Macaca fascicularis: one gene and its partners. The protein of the gene in region 1 interacts with the protein of each later gene in a pairwise test. Links are inferred from orthologs where the notes say so. Each region holds a gene or a part of one and is shown in the gene's direction. Other genes may lie near its edges. The genes, in order: CEP126, HMOX2 and NUDT21.

Evidence for each region.
Region 2: the proteins of CEP126 (region 1) and HMOX2 interact in a two-hybrid assay, tested with the Homo sapiens proteins (2 studies listed by BioGRID and IntAct). The link is inferred for Macaca fascicularis from reciprocal best matches to the Homo sapiens genes CEP126 and HMOX2.
Region 3: the proteins of CEP126 (region 1) and NUDT21 interact in a two-hybrid assay, tested with the Homo sapiens proteins (2 studies listed by BioGRID and IntAct). The link is inferred for Macaca fascicularis from reciprocal best matches to the Homo sapiens genes CEP126 and NUDT21.

What each region holds. Positions count from the first base shown.
Region 1 is NC_088388.1:100,996,727-101,003,339, forward strand, and holds part of CEP126 (centrosomal protein of 126 kDa), read left to right. Parts: intron 1-478; exon of another isoform or gene 479-532; intron 533-2,541; coding exon 2,542-2,751; intron 2,752-6,613. UniProt on the Homo sapiens protein: Participates in cytokinesis. Necessary for microtubules and mitotic spindle organization. Involved in primary cilium formation.
Region 2 is NC_088394.1:5,288,700-5,295,787, forward strand, and holds the start of HMOX2 (heme oxygenase 2), read left to right. Parts: upstream 1-2,237; 5' UTR 2,238-2,332; intron 2,333-7,088.
Region 3 is NC_088394.1:52,507,410-52,514,022, reverse strand, and holds part of NUDT21 (cleavage and polyadenylation specificity factor subunit 5), read left to right. Parts: intron 1-2,984; coding exon 2,985-3,185; intron 3,186-4,285; coding exon 4,286-4,349; intron 4,350-6,613. UniProt on the Homo sapiens protein: Component of the cleavage factor Im (CFIm) complex that functions as an activator of the pre-mRNA 3'-end cleavage and polyadenylation processing required for the maturation of pre-mRNA into functional mRNAs.

The sequences.
Region 1 (6,613 bases):
TCAGTGATGATGATGAACAAGGTAGTGACTGAAGGATTCCATATGTCAAGTGAGAAAAAAATGATGTCTGACATTATTACATAAGCAAAAAATATACCTTGAGAGTCTATCAGTAAGCTGGAAGAACTGGATATCAAAGAGGTTATTAACATCGATAATAAGACTCCAGGTGTTTTCATTGACCAATGGTGAAATAGCCAAAAGAGCTCTGAATTAAGATGATTGTGATAATAGTGATGATAATGACATTGTTAACACTGCAAAAAAAAAAAAAAAAAGTGCCAATTGACAATATGATGAAAATGTGTGATGGGTTTATTGAACGACTAGAGCAGTATGCACTCATAACAAGAAGAAATTATGCCGGTTTATAAAATCAAAGACCAAAAAAAAAAAAAAAAAAAAACCATTGTAAATGTTAAGGCAAAAGACTCTGGAAGAAACAGTTTTTAAGGTCATCTAGCAGAATATTTCCTCATCCCTAGAGGACCCACTTCCTTGTGCCTCAGCTGCTTCTGATGTTTCTTCTCACCTAAAAAAAGAAAATACAGTGTACAGTAACCATTTGATCAAAATGTAACATAATACCTAAGGTTGGAAGCCTGCCATTGTTCCTTGTTGCTGTTGCTGAACAGCTGACACAGGAATTCTGGTGATGTTACTGTGGTGCTTAGTTGCTCTGAACACATTATTTTCTCAGGGTATGAAGGATACATCTTATTTTTTACTGTTAAGTACTTATGTGTGAATAGGTGTAAGAACATCATTGCTTTTCAGTAGATATAAATTCGGAGTCAGGAATAACAGTGATGCCAGACAACCACAGATCATCCACATAGATTGCTGATACAGTGACAGCTTTGCTTTCTGATGGTTCAGTATACACCAACTTCGTTTCATGGACAAAATTATTTAAAATGTTACATAAAATTACCTCAGGTGTGTGTATAAGGTATATACGAAACATAAATGAGTTTCTTTTTTTTTTTTTTTTTTTTTTGAAACAGAGTCTCACTCTGTCACCTAGGATAGAGTGCAGTGGTGCAATCTCAGCTCATTGCAACCTCCACCTCTCAAGTTCAAGCAATTCTCCTGCATCAGCCTCCCAAGTAGCTGGGATGACAGGCGTGTGCCACCACACCTGGGTAATTTTTGTATTTTTAGTTGAGACGAGGCTTCACCATGTTGGCCAGGCTGGTCTTGAACTCCTGACTTCAGGTGATCCACCCACTTCAGCCTCCCAAAGTGCCAGGATTACAGGCATGAGCCACCACACCCAGCCGAGTTTCATGTTTAAACCTAGGTCTCATCACCAACATGTCTCATGTATGTGCAAATATCCAAAATTCTAAAAAAATCCAAAACCTGAAACACATCTAGTCCCAAGCATTTTTGGATAAGTAATACTTAACATTTATAATAATGAACAAAACATACAAAAGTATTGCTCTTCAGAAATTTAAAGTATATTAGAGAAGACTGGCTTTAAATAAACATGTTTTAGTCTTTTTTTTTTTTACTGATTTCTCTATTACTTTTAAGCTTTGTCGAAGAACCTTCCCAATATAGAAATTCAGAAACATTTGTTTCATTTTCTTCAGGGTTGCTTTAATTAATGGGTTGATTCCTTAAGTTTGTCTTTAATGTCTTTGGAATTTGTTTTAACAAACAGTGGGAAATAAAACTACGAATTGATTTTTTTTTTTTTTTTTTTTTTTTTTGAGACAGAGTCTGTCACCGAGGCTGGAGCACAGTAGCGTAATCTCAGCTCACTGCAACCTCCACCTCCCAGGTTCAAGTGCTTCTCCTGCCTCAGCCTTCCAAGTAGCTGGGATTATAAGCGCCCACAATAACACCTGGCTAATTTTTGTATTTTTAGTAGAGACGAGGTTTCACCACATTGGCCAGGCTGCTCTCGAACTCCTGACCTCAAGTGAACTACCCGCCTCAGCCTTCCAAGGTGCTGGGATTAGAGGCATGAGCCACTGCACCCAGCCCAAATTGATTCTTTTATAAGCAACAACTAATTTATAAAATCATCTTTCCCTTCTGTCAAGTCTTTGATGCTTCTTTGATCACATGTTCTTATATCTAACTGGATCTGTTTCTAGGCTGTCAGTTCTGTTCAGCTGATCATCAAAGTTTCTAATGTTTCCTTAAGCTTTTTTGTGTCTTACTTTTTTATAATTCATTATAACTACTATTATAAAAACGGTCTCTGTCATCTTTTTTGTACGACCAATGAATAATAAACATATTACAAAAACTATCTACATTAAATATTTTTTTCTTTAGTTAAGTCATACTCTGGGAATTTTTATTAACTCACTGCTTTCATTTTCAATATCCTTTTTTTAAAAATGAAGGATGGGAAAATGCTAGATAGAGAATCCTGATAGATGAAATCAAAGTAGCAGATATTTACTAGGTTTCTATTTGTAATATGAATACATACAGACAGTTAAGTATGTGTAAGTATGTATAAGGGCTGATCTCAAAGACAAAAGGGGATCAAAGAATAACTGATGTAAGTTTCTGTAGTTTCAGATAGTACTTCTGAGTTTTTGATGGCTGAAAACTTAGTGAAAGCATCAGTGCCGGAGGATGAGATTCTGACTGTCTTGAATAGCAAACAGATACAGAAATCAAATCTACCTTTAAGTAAAACTCAACAATTCAACATCTGCACACTATCAGCTGAAGAACAGAAGATCCTAGAGTCCCTTAATGATCTCAATGAAAGACTACATTGTAAGTATGGAAGAACACCTCTTATAAGAAATACTGCATTTTTCACTTAGATAATTTTAATTTAAACTTTAATTTAAAAATTGAAAGGAAAAATACAAAATGTATCCATATGACTTAATTGAGTGTATAACCATTCAGAACATATTTGAATACTAGTTCAAGTATGCCATATCATTTGTGATGATGTCAACTTATTTGGCAGACTTACCCGTCTTTTTGGAATATATGAATAGACTTCTGTTTCAGCAATGGACAGGCTACGTACCTATACTGACCATCCATCAAAACAACCATAAATGCTTGATTAAGTATTTTTTAAATCTGCAATATAGTGATGATCTAGTAAGAATGTAAGAAATGCTTAAGACCAAGAACTAAATGTAGACAAGAACTCAAAAAATAAGAAGAGTGCTGCAGCTAGCTCTTGTCCTGAGGATATTTAACTCATGGAGTGAAATTGAACTTTGCTTTCCATGGCCTCATAGGAAAAAGGGAACAGGCCTACTCAAGATGAGTAGTCTCATAGAAGATCTTTTCATCATAAAGCTGGGCCACCCAACGAGCTCTGCACCACACATGCACACACAGAGGAGGCAGCACCACACATGCACACACACAGGAGGCAGCACCACACATGCACACACACAGGAGGCAGCACCACACATGCACACACAGAGGAGGCAGCACCACACATGCACACACACAGGAGGCAGCACAGGAAGAGGGAATTTTTCCTAAAAAAAAAAAAAAAAGCTTTCGGCCGGGCGCGGTGGCTCAAGCCTGTAATCCCAGCACTTTGGGAGGCCGAGGCGGGCGGATCACAAGGTCAGGAGATCGAGACCACAGTGAAACCCCGTCTCTACTAAAAATACAAAAAAAAATTAGCCAGGCGCGGTGGCGGGCGCCTGTAGTCCCAGCTACTCAGGAAGCTGAGGCAGGAGAATGGCGGGAACCCGGGAGGCGGAGCTTGCAGTGAGCCGAGATCGCGCCACTGCACTCCAGCCTGGGCAACAGCGTGAGACTCCGTCTCAAAAAAAAAAAAAAAAAAAATGCAAAAATGCAGTCATTTTTAAACTTAAACATGCAGGGAATAAGAAACTATAAAGAAAGAACAAACAGATTTGAAAAAGGGCCCAAATAGAATGCCTGGAAATTGAAAATATAATAATTGAAACATAAAATTTAGTAGATGGGTTAACCACCAGATTACAGACATCCGAAGAGAGAATTAGTAAACTAGAACACGAATCAAAGAAATTTATCCACAATATATCTTAGAGAGACAAAGAGATGGAAAATATGATATAGAGCTTAAGAGACACAAAAGAGTAAATTAAAAAGCCTGAAAGGCCAGAAACAATATCTAAAGTGATAATGGTTGACAACTTTTCCAATTTGATGAACAATACCAACCTACAAGTTCAACAACCCAACGTATTTCAGAATAAATAAAAAGAAATTACCACAAGATACATCACAGTTAATTTTAATCAGCAACAAAAAAGGCAGAAAACAATGAAAAAAACTCAGAAGATATTGATAACATGTCTAATGTGCTGAGAGAAAGTAACTTTCAAATTTAATACCTTCTTTTTTTTGAGATGGAGTCTCGCTCTGTCGCCCAGGCTGGAGTGCAATGGTTCCATCTCAGCTCACTGTAAGCTCCACCTCCCAGGTTCATGCCATTCTCCTGCCTCAGCCTCCCGAGTAGCTGGGACTACAGGCGCCCGCTGCCACGCCTGGCTAATTTTTTGTATTTTTTAGTAGAGAGGGGGTTTCACCGTGTTAGCCAGGATGGTCTCGATCTCTTGACCTCATGATCCACTCTCCTCAGCCTCCCAAAGTGCTGGGATTATAGGCGTGAGCCACCACGCCCAGCCATTTAATACCTTCTTAACATGAAAATGTCTCTCAAGAAGAGGGGTGAATTAAAAATATGTTCAGACAAAAACCAAGAGACTTTGTTAACAGCAGACTTGCTAAAGAAAATTCTCACCGCACTTCACCAGGCAGAAAGTGCAGTTAACCTCAGATGGACAGTCTGAGAGAGTAAATTTCAACAAACACTGCATAAAACAATAAATATAATAAAGTAGTATATGTTTCAGAGATAAAAAGGTTAGAATTAAAATACCTATCAATAATAGTACATAAGTTGAGAGGGCATAAATGGAGTTAAAGTATAGTAGGATGTTTATATTGTTAGGGAATTGGGTAAAGTCCTAGATTAAAGTTAGATATTGATAACTGAAGTATGCCTGTGATAATTACTAGAGTCACAACTAAAGAACTAGAAATGTAATATACAACTTCCAATCTGGTAGAGAAGGAAAAGTGGCACATAAAAGCTGACAAATCAATCTGAAATAAAGCAACAAAGGAGAGAAAAATAAACATAGAAGAAATACTGTAAGATTATATGTAGGAGTATATTTACAATAATTGTAAATGTAGTAAGTGGTACAGTTGAAAGAGGTTGTTAAATGGAACTTTACGTTGAAACTATATTCTGTTTATAAACAATATATTTAAAACATAAGGATATTAAAAAACTGAAAGCAAAAAAAGATGGAAAAGGTATGCCAAGCAAGTTTTAACCAAAGGAAAGCTGGTTTTGATTCACTTTTAAATAGAAAGCATTATTAGACATAAAAAGTATCACTTTGGGCCAGGTGCAGTGGCTCACTCCTGTAATCCCAGCACTTTGGGAGGCCGAAGCAGGCAGATCACAAGGTCAAGAGATCGAGACCATCCTGGCCAACACGGTGAAAGCCCGTTTCTACTAAAAATACAATAATTATCTGAGTGTGTTGGTGCGTGCCTGTAGTCCCAGCTACTCAGGAGGCTGAGGCAGGAGAATCGCTTGAACCTGGGAGGTGGAGGTTGCAGTGAGCCGAGATCGCGCTACTGCACTCCAAGTGGGCAACAGAGCGAGACTCCGTCTCAAAAAAAAAAAAAAATCACTTTATGATGAGCAAAGTCTTACTTCAGAAGAAATACATAAGATTTTTATATGCACTTAAGAACACAGCCTCAAAATATATAAAATAATTTTAACCATCGTAGGTGATTTTAACATACCATTGTTAGTAATTGATAGAACAAATAGATTTTAAAAATCAAATAGATGTATAAAAATTAAATATGATTAACAAAACTGATCAAAGGGACATGTTCTTTGTAAGTGAACATACAATCTTTATAAAATGAATCATATATAAGACCATGAAACGAGCCTTAACACGTTTCAAAGGATCGGAGTCACACAGCCCACATCCTCTAACCACAATGCAATTTACCTAAAATCTACTAACTAAAAGATAACCATTAAGAAACAAGTTTCTAAATAAATCATGATTCTGAAGAAAAAAAAATAATAGGAATTTCTAAATATTTAGATCTGAACAACAATAGAAATACTTTGTGTATCTATCAGGTTTTCTCTACCTCAGCACCGTTGACATTTTGAGCTGGATAATGCTTTATTGTGGGAGACTGTCTAGTGCATTGTAACATGTTTAGCAGCATCTCTGGCCTCTACCCACTAGATGCCATAGCACTTCCCTATCATGACAAGTGCTCCTAGACTTTACCAAATATCCCCTGGGTGGCAAAAATCACCTATGGTTCAGAACCACACACATATTTCCTCCTAAAATGCAGAAGGCCAGAATGTATCAATCCCATTCGAAGAACAATAAAAGATAAATGGCAAAAGTATAACTTTTCTTGAGCCAATTAGAGAGCTGAGGTCGCCTCACAACCAAGTAGCCTAGCATCCAAGAAAACACATAAACATCTAAAGAGAGACAGGTCGTGAACATTTTCTCACCCATGGGAGAATATGAGAGAGGGAAATGTC
Region 2 (7,088 bases), on another chromosome or scaffold:
GGCCAATATGGTGAACTGTCTCTACTAAAAATACAAAAATTTGGCCAGGAACGGTGGCTCACGCCTGTAATCCCAGCACTTTGGGAGGCCAAGACCGGCGAATCGCGAGGTCAGGAGATCGAGACCACCCTGGCTAACACTGTGAAACCCCGTCTCAGGCCGGGCGCGGTGGCTCAAGCCTGTAATCCCAGCACTTTGGGAGGCCGAGACGGGCGGATCATGAGGTCAGGAGATCGAGACCATCCTGGCTAACCCGGTGAAACCCCGTCTCTACTAAAAAATACAAAAAACTAGCCGGGCGAGGCGGCGGGCGCCTGTAGTCCCAGCTACTCAGGAGGCTGAGGCAGGAGAATGGCGTAAACCCAGGAGGCGGAGCTTGCAGTGAGCTGAGATCCGGCCACTGCACTCCCGCCTGGGCGACAGAGTGAGACTCCGTCTCAAAAAAAAAAAAAAAAAAAAGAAACCCCATCTCTACTAAAAATACAAAAAGTTAGCCGGGCACGGTGGCGGGCACCTGTAGTCCCAGCTACACGGGAGGCTGAGGCAGAATGGCATCAACCCGGGGGGCGGAGCTTGCAGTGAGTGGAGATCGCACCACTGCACTCCAGCCTGGGCGACAGAGCGAGACTCGGTCTCAAAAAAAGAATAAAAAAATAAAAAAAAAACAAAAATTGGGCTGGGCTCCATGGCTCACGCCTGTGATCCCAGCACTTTGGGAGGCCAAGGCGGGCGGATCACAAGGTCAGGAGTTCAAGACCAGCCTGGCCAACATAGTGAAACCCCGTCTCTACTAAAAAAAATACAAAAAATTAGCCGGGCGTGGTGGCAGGCGCCTGTAATCCCAGCTACTCAGGAGGCTGAGGCAGGAGAATTGCTTGAACCGGGGAGGAGGCTGCAGTAAGCCAAGATTGCGCCATTGCACTCCAGCCTGGGCGACAGCCTGAGACTCCATCTCATAAAAAAAAAAAAAAAAAAAAAATACAGCAGTCAGCCATTGCGTCCTATCTGAGCTATGTATTCATATTCATATCTCTGGTGACTTTTTTTTTTGGAAAAGACATATCCTCACTCTGTTGCCCAGGCTGGAGTAAGGTGGCACCATCACAGCTCATTGCAGCCTAGGAACTTCTAGGCTCAAGCAGTCCTCCCACCTCAGCCTCCCAAGTGGCTGGGACTATAGGCACACACCACCACCTCAGACTGATGTTTACATTTTTTTGTAGAGACGGGGTCTTCCTATGTTGCCCAGGCTGGTCTTGTACTCCTGCACTCGAGCAATCCTCTTGCCTCTGCCTACCATAGTGCTGGGATTACAAAAAGTAAAAAATTCCCTGGCGTGGTGGTGCATGCCTTCAGTCCAAGTTACTTGGAAGGCTGAGGCAGGAGGATGGCTTGAGCACAGGAGTTCCTGGCTGCAGAGAACTCTGATTGCACCATTACACTCCAGCTTGGGCGACACAACCAGACCCTGTCTCAAAAAAAAAAAAAAAAAAAGTCCAGACATGGTGGTTCACGCCTGTAATCCCAGCACTTTGGGAGGCCAAGGCGGGTGGATCACCTGAGTTCAGGAGTTCAAGACCAGCCTGGCCAACATGGTGAAACCCCGTCTCTATTAAAAATACAAAAATTAGCCGGGCGTGGTGGCACGCGCCTGTAATCCCAGCTATTCGGGAGGTTGAGGAGGAGAATCGCTTGAACCCGGGGGAAAGGGGTTGCAATGAGCCGAGATCACGCCATTGCACTCCAGCCTGGGTGACAAGAGCAAAACTCCATCTCCAAAAAAAAAAAAAAAAATCATTCTGTCATTCTGGCTGCTGTTAGAAGAATGCCCATAATGCAACAGGGAGATCAGATACAAGACTGGTAACCGATGTGTCGGAGTTGAGACTCAGTTTCGCAGATTGCATTGGCAAGTGAGCAAGTGGGTGGTGCCACGATTGACAACCCTATTTCTTACATCACTGAGCGGATGTAAAAGGATTAAACCACACTGGGGAAGAAAAGTGCTCAGCCCTGAGGCACCCTCACACACCTCGGCTCTTGTGAACACTAGCGTTCCTGCCGAAGCACCCCTACTTACCCTGCTGAGCAGAGCCTGAGCCTGCAGCCTTCAGACACCTGGAGAAAGCCACATGCTCCGCCTCCCGCCCCCCGCAAGGGCGTGTCAGCTACAAGGGGCGTGTCCTCCCTAGGCCCCGCCCCGCGCTGCGTGCCAACGTTGCACCGGCCTTCGCGCCAGTCCGCTGGGCTGCGGGGACTGCGGCGCCTGAGGGAGTCGCTGACGGGCAAGCTGAGTGGAGGCTGGCTGACGGGCCACAGCGACCTGCGGCAGGTGAGCTGTCTGCGCCCTCCCGGGGCCTTCCTTCCGCCCGGCTCCTCGGACTGCGCCGCGTCCTTCGCGGGCACTGCCTCGGTGCAGGCCTTCGTACCTGGGCTCAACCAGGCCACAGCCCTCTGCGTCCCCGGCGCGGGTCTGAGGGGAGAGCGGGCAGGCCGGAAGCTGAGTGAGGCCGGGCAGAAGGACGAAGACGAGCGTGGAGGGGCTGTCAGGGGAGGGCGAAACCCCGGACGCCGCTCTCTAAAATCGTCTCCCCGGGGGCGCGGGGAGGCCTGAGCGGCTTGCTTTGGCGTCCCCGTTGGGCCCACCGCCTCCCAGCGTCACGGCCGTGCTGGGCGAGGTGACCCCCGGGGTCGTAGCTGGGGACGTCGGCGGTGCTGACAGGGGATGCCGGCAGAGATTGGAGCCCGGCTTAGCGGCTTCCCGGGCTATTGGCACTGGCCGGGTCTCTGCCCTTCCTCCAGTGCCCTTATCTCTATAGGAAGTGCCCCTTGAGTGGGTGTCGTGACTTCACGAGTGAACCCTGGTACAGCTTGGAGCAGAGTCGGACTGGGAGGGATCAAGTGTGGGGGTAGCCGGTTAGTCCGGACATGGGTTTACCTGTCACCTTCTGAGCGCAGTGCTCTGGGTGCATTAATTACCCTGCAGAAGCTGCCAGGACCTCCTTGCAGTCTTTGCACGAGGCCTGCCTGTGTCATGCCATTTAAATCGCGTCTGGGCCGGGGCGGTGGCTCACGCCTGTAATTCCAGCACTTTGGGAGGCCGGGCCTGGCGGATTGCTTGAGGTCAGGAGTCCGAGATCAGACTGGTCAACATGGTGAAACTCCGTCCCTACTAAAAATACAAAAATTAGCCTGAGGTGTTGGGGCATGCCTGTAATCCCAGCTACTCGGGAGGCTGAGGCAGGAATCCCTTGAACCTGGGAGGCAGAGCCTGGGCGACAGAGCGAGACTCCATCTCAAAAAAAGAAAAAAAAGCACTGCATAATACTTTCCACTGGAGGAAGCCCTCTCCTCTCAGCCCCTTGCAAAGCCTTGCGAGCTGATCATTTTTCCACGTGTAAAACGAGGTCAGTGTTAAGACTCAGCTTAGGCTGGGCAGGGTGGCTCACGCCTGTAATCCCAGCACTTTGGGAGGCCGATGTAGGCGGATCACCTGAGGTCAGGACTTAGAGACCAGCCTGGTCAACATGATGAAACCCCGTCTCTACTAAAAATACAAAGAATTAAATGGGCAGGGTGGCGCGTGCCTGTAATCCCAGCTACTGGGGAGGTTGATTTTGAAGGATCACTTGAGCCCAGGAAGTGGAGGTTGCAGTGAGCTGAGATCGCATCACTGCACTCCAGCTTGGGTGACAGAGTGAGACCCTGTCTCAAAAAAGAAAAAATAAATATCACAAGACAAAATTTGTGCTTACCAGGAGTTCACAGTTAAATAAGACATATAAAAGCTTACTTGGTAAAATTAGAAAAAGTTATCAGAGACAACATTTAGGTTTAAACGCTGGTGAGGGTGTGGGAATTTGTAGAGCCTTGGAAACACACACACTCATTGAATGACCTCATCTAAATGGGGATGTGAAGAGGGAAATCCTGTGATTCCTCCATTGTCTGACTTGATTTCCTTTTTTCCTTTGCTGTGGCAACATTTTGAAATGCTGTGAGTCACCAAAAGGGGGAACATGAGCAACTCTAGAAATGCCAGTGCCAATGAGTTACAGACAATAAAGCATTGACTGCCTTTAGCTCACCCCCATCAAATCTGTTGAAAACTTGTAAAATTGGACAGCTAGAGCTACTTTGATTTTTTGGTTTCCTTTTAACAGCTGACTCTCTTCACAGGACATTTGGGCTCTACATCAGGATTGCACCCAAAACTGGAATATCACTCCTCCAGGAGGGTGATATACTTTGAAAATTAGAATTGTGGGTCCAGCGCAGTGGCTCACGCCTGTAATCCCAGCACTTTGGGAGGCCGAGGTGGGTGGATCGCCTGAGGTCAGGAGATAGAGGCCAGCCTGACCAACATGGAGAAATCCTGTCTCTACTAAAAAAAAAAAAAAAAAAAAAAAAAATTAGCTGGGCATGGTGGCACGTGCCTATAATCTGAGCTACTTGAGAGGCTGAGGCAGGAGAATCACTTGAACCTGTGAGGCGGAGGTTGCGGTGAGCTGAGATCCGGCCACTGCACTCCAGCCTGGGCGACAGAGCGAGACTCTGTCTCAAAAAAAAAAAAAAAAAAAAAAATTAGAATTGTGTATTTCAGTGTAAAATTTGAAATTCAGCTTCTAAGTCCTTGGAGAGAAAACAGATTAAAAACTTGACCTAGACTGGGTGCGGTGGCTCACGCCTGTAATCCCAGCACTTTGGGAGACCGAGGCGGGTGGATCACCTGAAGTCAGGAGTTCGAGACCAGCCTGGCTAACATGTTGAAACCCCGTCTCCACTAAAAATACAAAAATTAGCCTTGCAATTTCGAGACCAGCCTGGCTAACATGGTGAAACCCTGTCTCTACTAAAAATACGAAAATTAGCCTTGCAAAAAGTAGCCTGTAATCCCAGCTACTCGGGAGACTGAGGAAGGAAAATTGCTTGCAGCCAGGAGGCAGAGGTTGCAGTGAGCTGAGATCGTGCCATTGCACTCCAGCCTGGGCGACGAGCGAAACTTCGTCTCAAAGAAAAAAAAAAATTATATTAGCGTGAACAATAAGTGGGATGCTAGCACATGCTTATAATCTCAGCTACCTGGGAGGCTGAGGCAGGAAGTTAATACTTAGTGAGCCTAAGTTTTTGGTGTCTTTGGATGCTGCTTGTTGATCTAAGGGTTTTCCAAACCTTTCTTTTTTGGTAAAATTGGGATTATGACTGGGAACCTGTTTTTGGAGTTTCTCGGGTGATTCTTGTTTGGGGTCCTTGTCTAAGGCACAGGCTGGAAAGAGGAGGGAGTGGACTAGCAGGGAAGATAGAGCGGTAAGCGAATAGAATACCTGAGGAAAGGGACGCCGGAAGAGGTGATTGTTGTGTGGTGAACTGTGCTGTCAGTGTGTATATCAGAGGCCAACGAAGTGGATATTCCCTTCACTTGGCTTAGGGAAAAAATTAATTTTTGTTTCACAAATAGATTCGTTTCCTTCCCAGGAATAGGCCTAATTACTGTCATAGTTCTCAGTAACTTTAAAAAGGCTGTGGGGAAGAATGGCATAACAGGCTGGTGTCTTGTACCCAGCCTGCCTTTTTCTTATTCTTCTTTTTTTTTTTTTTTGAGACGGAGTCTTGCTCTGTTGCCCAGGCTGGAGTGCAGTGGCACGATCTCGGCTCACTGCAAGCTCTGCCTCCCGGGTTCACGCCATTCTTCTGCCTCAGCCTCCCGAGTAGCTGGGACTATAGGTGCCCGCCACCACGCCTGGCTAATTTTTTGTATTTTTAGTAGAGACGGGGTTTTACCGTGTTAGCCAGGATGGTCCCGATTTCCTGACCTTGTGATCTTCCCGCCTCGGCCTCCCAAAGTGCTGGGATTACAGGCGTGAGCCACCGGGCCCGGCCTTTTTTTTTTTTTCTTTGAGACAGTCTTGCTCTGTCATCCAGGCTGGAGTGTGGTGGCACAATCTCAGCTCACTGCAATCTCAGCCTGCTGGGTTCAAGCTATTCTCCAGCCTCAGCCTCCTGAGTTGCTGGGATTACAGCTGTATGCCACCATGCCTGGCTAATTTTTGTATTTTTAGTAGAGATGAGGTTTCACTGTGTTGGCCAGGCTGGTCTCGTACTCCTGACCTCAGGTGATCCACCCACCTCGGCCTCCCAAAGTGCTGGTATTAACAGGCGTGAGCCACAGCGCCCGGCCTTTTTTTTTTTTTTTCTTAGCCGGAGTCTTGCTCTGTCACCCAGGCTAGAGTGCAGTGGCGCCATCTCGGCTTACTGCAACCTCTGCCTTCTGGGAGGTGATTCTCCTTCCTCAGCCTCCCGAGTAGCTGGGATTACAGGTGTGCGCCAGCACGCCCAGTTAATTTTTGTATTTTTAGTAGAGATGGGGTTTCGCCATGTTGGCCAGGCTGGTCTCAAACTCCTGACTTCAAGTGGTCCACCTACCTGGGCCTTCTAAAGTGCTGGGATTACAGGTGTGAGCGACCGTGCCCGGCTAAGGGCCTACTATTTTTTTTTTTTTTTTTTGAGACAGAGTTTCACTCTTGTCACCCAGGCTGGAGTGCAGTGCCTTGATCTTGGCTCACTGCAACTTCCACCTCCCAGGTTTAAGCGATTCTCCTGCCTTAGTCTCTGGGGAAGCTGGGATTATAGGCACCTGCCACCATGCCTGGCTAATTTTTTGTATTTTTAGTAGAGACGGGGTTTCACCATGTTGGCCAGGCTGGTCTCAAACTCCTGATGTCAGGTGATCCACCTACCTCTGCCTCCCAAAGTATTGGGATTACAGGCATGAGCCACCGTGCCCAGCTGGGCCTACTATTTTTTGTTTTGCTCATGTTGACATGTCTGAGATAGAGGGCCTATTATTAAAGCACCGTGCTAAGGCTGCGAGAAGGTACTAGTGTGATTGAAACAACCTCGTATTATAATGCCATCCTGATTTTAGTTAATCTAGTTGACTGGCTGGCCTCATAAGTAGCTGTGATGATCATAATTTTTATGCCAAACACATGTAATTGTCTGAGCATACAGGTGTACTGAAAGAATTAGGTGGAACAGGATATTTGAAATCAGAATTGTTCTGGAAAGTCGGGAACATAAAGCTTTGT
Region 3 (6,613 bases), on another chromosome or scaffold:
AAATTAAGAAAAAAATCCATCAAATGGTAAAGGCAAATGTTATCCTTTTTAAAAGTATGAAAGCACAGCTTCTGGGTTACTTTCAGTGGTGATTAGAGCTAAAACCCACAGTCTTTTCTTGTTTTGTCTTGATTACTGAATTAATTTGCACCAAGCCATTATGTAGAATTAACTTGGCAAAATAGTTAGCTTTCAGCAAGATTTTAATCTTCGCTCTATTAAAATTATGGGTTGATTTACAGTACATTTCTTCTCCTATATAAATATAAATATTCAGAAATAATCATTGTGTTGTGAACTTAAGTTCACCTGAGTTAATATTAAGTTGAAAACAAATGCGCTCTCCCCAGTATATTTTCTTTTTTTTTTTTTTTTTTTTTTTTTTTTTTTGAGACGGAGTCTCGCTCTGTCACCCAGGCTGGAGTGCAGTGGCCGGATCTCAGCTCACTGCAAGCTCCGCCTCCCGGGTTTACGCCATTCTCCGGCCTCAGCCTCCTGAGTAGCTGGGACTACAGGCGCCCGCCACCTCGCCCGGCTAGTTTTTTGTATTTTTTAGTAGAGACGGGGTTTCACCGGGTTAGCCAAGATGGTCTCGATCTCCTGACCTCGTGATCCGCCCGTCTCGGCCTCCCAAAGTGCTGGGATTACAGGCTTGAGCCACCGCACCCGGCCTCCCCAGTATATTTTCTTTCAGGAAATATTGCATGAATGCCTACTTTGTGCCAGGCACTGTGCACAATACTGGATATACAGTGGTGAGGAAGTAAGGTGTAGCCCCTGCTTTATGAAGCTCACAGTATGATGAGAACAATATGTATGTCTGGGCTGGCACTCTGATTTCACAGGTGAAAATTCTGACATTTCATCTTGACATTACTGATATATTGGAGCTGGCTCTTGCAACAGAGATGTGTAATGGCTATCCTTAATTCTTTCTAACTCAGGTTGTGAGAATTAAATGTTAATATATGTAAAGCGTTTGAAAAAATTGCCTGGCACATCGTGCTGTGTAGCATATCTGCCGCTGCTATGGATGATGGTGTTAGATTTAGCCTTGGGTCTACTGGGGATGTTCTTTAAATCTTTAAAGCATCCTTGAAATGGTATATTTTAATTCTTTTATAGCTTTTTCATATGCCTAGAACTTGGCTTCTGAAATTAATTTTTTTTTTTTTTTTTTTTTTTTGAGACGGAGTCTAGCTCTGTTGCCCAGGCTGGAGTGCAGTGGCCGGATCTCAGCTCACTGCAAGCCCCGCCTCCCGGGTTCACGCCATTCTCCTGCCTCAGCCTCCCGAGTAGCTGGGAGTACAGGCGCCCGCCACCTCGCCCGGCTAATTTTTTTTTTTTGTATTTTAGTAGAGACGGGGTTTCACCGTGTTAGCCAGGATGGTCTCGATCTCCTGAACTCGTGATCCGCCCGTCTTGGCCTCCCAAAGTGCTGGGATTACAGGCTTGAGCCACTGCGCCCGGCCTTAAAGTAATTTTTAAAGTTTTGGCAACCTTGATTTTTTTCCCCTTTCAAGAATGGCTGAGTGTAGTAGATGCAATAATGTTGACTATTAATGTCAAGGGCTTTTGGTAGAATAGATACTATAGGTGGGCAAATGTGGCGTAAATTCTTACTCAAAGGCTTCTTGCTGTAAGGCTTTAATTAAGGGCGTACGACATATAAGTATGGAATTTTTAAGTATCTTTAAAGAAAAATTTGATCCTTATTAGGCAAGATGAAAACTGTCTTTAACAGTTTGAGCCATATTTTAAATTCTTGGTAAAGGGGTGGGTAGAAGATTCAGATGAGGAGAAGGAAACAATAAGGAGACTGAATAGAATAAATGCCCAAGGCTAGTAAATAGGGTTAGAGGACAGAAAGAGAAAGTAGAAGAGTTGCTGTGAAAAGGAAAGGCTGTGGTGCAAGAAAAATCTGAGGATAGTTGACTGAGAGAAATAGAAAATAACTGGAGGGATGTTGATGAAAAGTGGTGGCTTAGTTTTAGAAAAAAGAGATTAGCCATTAGCACCCATAATTAAAACTTTCTGATTAGATTAGTAGTCAGAGGAATGCAGGGGGACATTAATTATTAGCCAAATTGGTCTTGTTGGAATAGCAGCCATGGTCTAAAACCAGAGGATTACTAATGTTCAGATAACCATTTCTCTAAGCATTTAAGGATAGTGTTATCTACACTTGAAAGTTAAAGTATGGAGGAGTAGCTTGATCTCATGGAAGCTCTGGCTTTTTTTTTTTTTTTTTTTTGAGACGGAGTCTCACGCTGTTGCCCAGGCTGGAGTGCAGTGGCGCGATCTCGGCTCACTGCAAGCTCCGCCTCCTGGGTTCACGCCATTCTCCTGCCTCAGCCTCCTGAGTAGCTAGGACTACAGGCGCCCGCCACCGCGCCCGGCTAATTTTTTGTATTTTTAGTAGAGACGGGGTTTCACTGTGGTCTCGATCTCCTGACCTTGTGATCCGCCCGCCTCGGCCTCCCAAAGTGCTGGGATTACAGGCTTGAGCCACCGCCCAGGCTGGAGTGCAGTGGCGGGATCTCAGCTCACTGCAAGCTCCGCCTCCCGGGTTCACGCCATTCTCCTGTCTCAGCCTCCCAAGTAGCTGGGACTACAGGCGCCCGCCACTTCGCCCGGCTAGTTTTCTGTATTTTTTTTTTTTAGTAGAGACGGGGTTTCACCGTGTTAGCCAGGATGGTCTCGATCTCCTGACCTCGTGATCCGCCCGTCTCGGCCTCCCAAAGTGCTGGGATTACAGGCTTGAGCCACCGCGCCCGGCCGGAAGCTCTGGCTTTAAGAGTCCAGAGAACAAGATTCCAATCTCTACTGTCTCATTAACTTTAGTTATGTAACTGTACAAATCCTGTGTCTCTGAGTACAACATATGCACTTTTTTTTTGTACTGTGGTTTCTTTATGCTAATGTCTGTCATGGTAAATTATATTCTTCAGTTCTCATGTTAGATGTTTGTCTTTGGATCACAGGTACCCTCTTACCAATTATACTTTTGGTACAAAAGAGCCCCTCTATGAGAAGGACAGCTCTGTGGCAGCCAGATTTCAGCGCATGAGGGAAGAATTTGATAAAATTGGAATGAGGAGGACTGTAGAAGGGGTTCTGATTGTACATGAGCACCGGCTACCCCATGTGTTACTGCTACAGCTGGGAACAACTTTCTTCAAACTGTAAGTAGTGTTGGAAATTAACAGCAAGACAGTTTTTAGTAGGATTGCTGTTTATGCAGCTGTGGACTACAATTTTAGCCCTCGGTCATTTATTTCAACAAACACTGCTGTTAATGATGTCTTTAAAAAGAGAAAATCACGAGTAATTTTTCTCCATTGCGGTGCTCGTTTATTTTCCTAACTAGTAATCTGCGTGTTTCTATATGTTGTCGATGTTAGTGATTGAGCTTGGTAGAAACCCTGTGGAATAGTTGAGTTCAAGATCAATGTCTAGATGTCATTGTAGCATCACCAAGAACAATTGGTATTTCTTTCTTGGTATGATTTGCATTTCCTATTCTTAAGATGACTTAGGTTTTTGTGGATAACAGTTTATTTTTTTGTCATTTAAGCTCCTGCATCTCTCAAACATTTGATCCACAACTATTTGACTAGATTATACCAAAAAGAAAGGTCTCCAATACTTAGATGGCGCTCTTGAAAAAGTGTCCCATTGTTTAGGCCTAAAGAATATGATCCATTCCTCTCTGGGCATTTCTAGACTCCATTATCATCAGATAGCTTCCAGAGACGAGATTGGGATGGACTGGTGGTTAGCAATTTTGTTTATGTTTGTGCTATGTTATGTATTCTGTTGGTTTAAAACTAGGGTTTATGTGATGGGTACATATGGACATAAAGTTGGAAAAAATGAACACTGTATACTCCAAAGGTGGGGAGCGGGAGGGAGAGGCGAGAGTTGAAATACTTCCTGTTAGATGTTATGTTCACTGTTTTGGTGATTGGTTCACTAGAAGCCTAAACCTTAGCATTACACAATATACCTATGTAATAAACTTGTACATGTACCCCTTGAATCGACAATAAAATAAAAATAAATATATACAAAGAGGAAAAAAACCTAGGGTTTGTATACTGTTAGTCTGGGGAATTGACATGAATTCAAGCATATTCTCCCCCTTCACTTTGATACTTGTTTTGATTGCCTTATTACACTGAAATATGTTACTTAGTGACTTGATAGACATAACATTTATTGTGTTCTTTGTTATCTCCAAATTGCATTAAGTTGAAAGCTGAAATTCTTAACTTTTATACAGACCTGGTGGTGAACTTAACCCAGGAGAAGATGAAGTTGAAGGACTAAAACGCTTAATGACAGAGGTATTTTTCTGTTTAACCTAACTTTGCATACCATCAACTTAATAGTTAATTTGGCTTTTAATGTCTTGTAAAAAGGATGTTTATTTTGGAATATTGAGTTTTCAATAAATACAACTTAAACCCCAGAATGTTAGTACAATGTTGATTTTTTTTACAAGTTGAACTTACACTTACTTCAATTTTTAAAATGTTAAACTGTGTCACAGCAATGATAAAAACTGACATTTAAGTATTACTGTGCTAGACACTGTTCTAAGTGCTTTACATGTGCTAATTCCTTTAATCACCACCACAACTCTAGGAAGCAGATATTAATAAGTTTAAATTACTTCTTGTTATATAGCTAGTGTGTTGTAGAGCTAGAGGTTTGAATGCAGGTAGTTTTGTTCAAGAGTAGGCCTCTATGGAATTTTGAAAAGAGAAAGACGCCTGTGTTTTCACTTTTTTCACATATTTTTTAGACTTTGCCCAAATTATTCTACTTTTAAAAAATCATTGTAATGCCTGCATGTAAAGACTTGGGGCCAAATGCATAGATACTGAGGATTTTGAGACTGTAAGTTGTTTTCAATGTTTGTTTTCTTCTTTAACATGCAGTTGCCGCCTGCCCCCTTTACAAAACTCATACATTCTCTGTGCAAAAAGCTTGGCAAACACAGAAAAGCAAAGGAGAAACAAAACTAAAGTCACCTGTAATTCTCCTACTTTTGACCTATTGGTTTGTCTTTCTAGTATTTCTAAAAATGTATTATAACTCTTAAACATTTACTGTGCTTGGACTTCCATTTATGTAATGTCTGGTACAAAGATGTAAGTGCAGTAGGATTGAGGGAGTGCAAAATGAGAGACTCACAAAAGCAAAATTTTTGGAAACTGGAAAACAGATGGGCAAATTATAACTAACTTGGCAGAAACCTTAGTCCAACAGACAGGCAGGCAGAATCCAACACTGCAGAGTACCAGAATGACTGAGGAACTGAAGGTGCTAGGTACTTATGAAAGTGGGGGCATGCATGGGCTGAAAACTGGACTGGTTCAAAGTATATATGAAGTATATTTATACAGGTTGAGTATTCCCTGTCTGAGAGCTTGGGACCAGAAGTGTTTAGCTACTATTTGATAGCACAATAGGGTGATTATAGTCAGTAATCACTTAATTGTAAATTTTAAAATAACTAAAAGAGTATAATTGGATTGTTTGTAACACAAAGGATAAATGCTTGAGGGGGTGGATACCCTGTTCTCCATGATGTGAATATTATGCATTGCATGCCTGTATCAAAACATCTTGTGTACCCCATACATATATACATCTACTATATATGCAAAAAAATTTAAAAAAAAGTGATTAGGATTTGGGATTTTTTTTCAGGTTTTGGAATATTTGCATTATGCTTACCAGTTAAGCATCCCATATACAAAACTTGAAATGCTGCAATGAACATTTCCTTTTTTTTTTTTTTTTTCTTGAGACGACGTCTCTCTCTTGTCACCCAGGCTAGAGTGCAATGGTGTAATCTCGGCTCACTGTAACATCCACCTCCCGGGTTTAAGCGATTCTCCTGCCTCACCCTCCCCAGTAGATGGAATTACAGGCACCTGCCACCATGCCTGGTTAATTTTTGTAGTTTTAGTGGAGACGGGGTTTCACCATGTTGGCCAGGCTGGTCTGGAACTCCTGACCTCAGGTGATCCGCCTTCCTTGGCCTTCCAAAGTGCTGGGATTACAGGCGTGCGCCACCGTACCCGGCCTGAGCATTTCCTTTGAACATCATTTCAGTGCTCAAAAAGTTTGAGATTTTGGAGTTTCAGATTGGGATGTTCAATCTGTGTATCTAGATTGTCTTCCCCACTCTGTAATTAGGCAAAGACTGGCTGATGATTGATTCTCTGTAGTAATTGAATCAGAGAACAGGTAGCAATGAAAAAAGTTTAGGGGATGGGGAAGAATAAGCAAGAGTTCCCATTCTGAATAGTCAGACTCTTGGACTTCTATTAGGCTGACAGGATGTTAACAATTGGGCTTATTTTAAAAAAATTTTTTTTGAGTCAGAGTTTTGCTCTTGTTGCCCAGGCTGGGGTGCAGTGGTGTGATATCCAGTGTGAGCAATGGTTGCTCACAGCAACCTCTGCCTCCTGGGTTCAAGCGATTCTCCTGCCTCAGCCTCCAGAGTAGCTGGGATTACAGGTGCCCACTGCCATGCCCAGCTAATTTTTGTATTTTTAGTAGAGATGGGGTTTCACCATGTTGGCCAGGCTGGTCT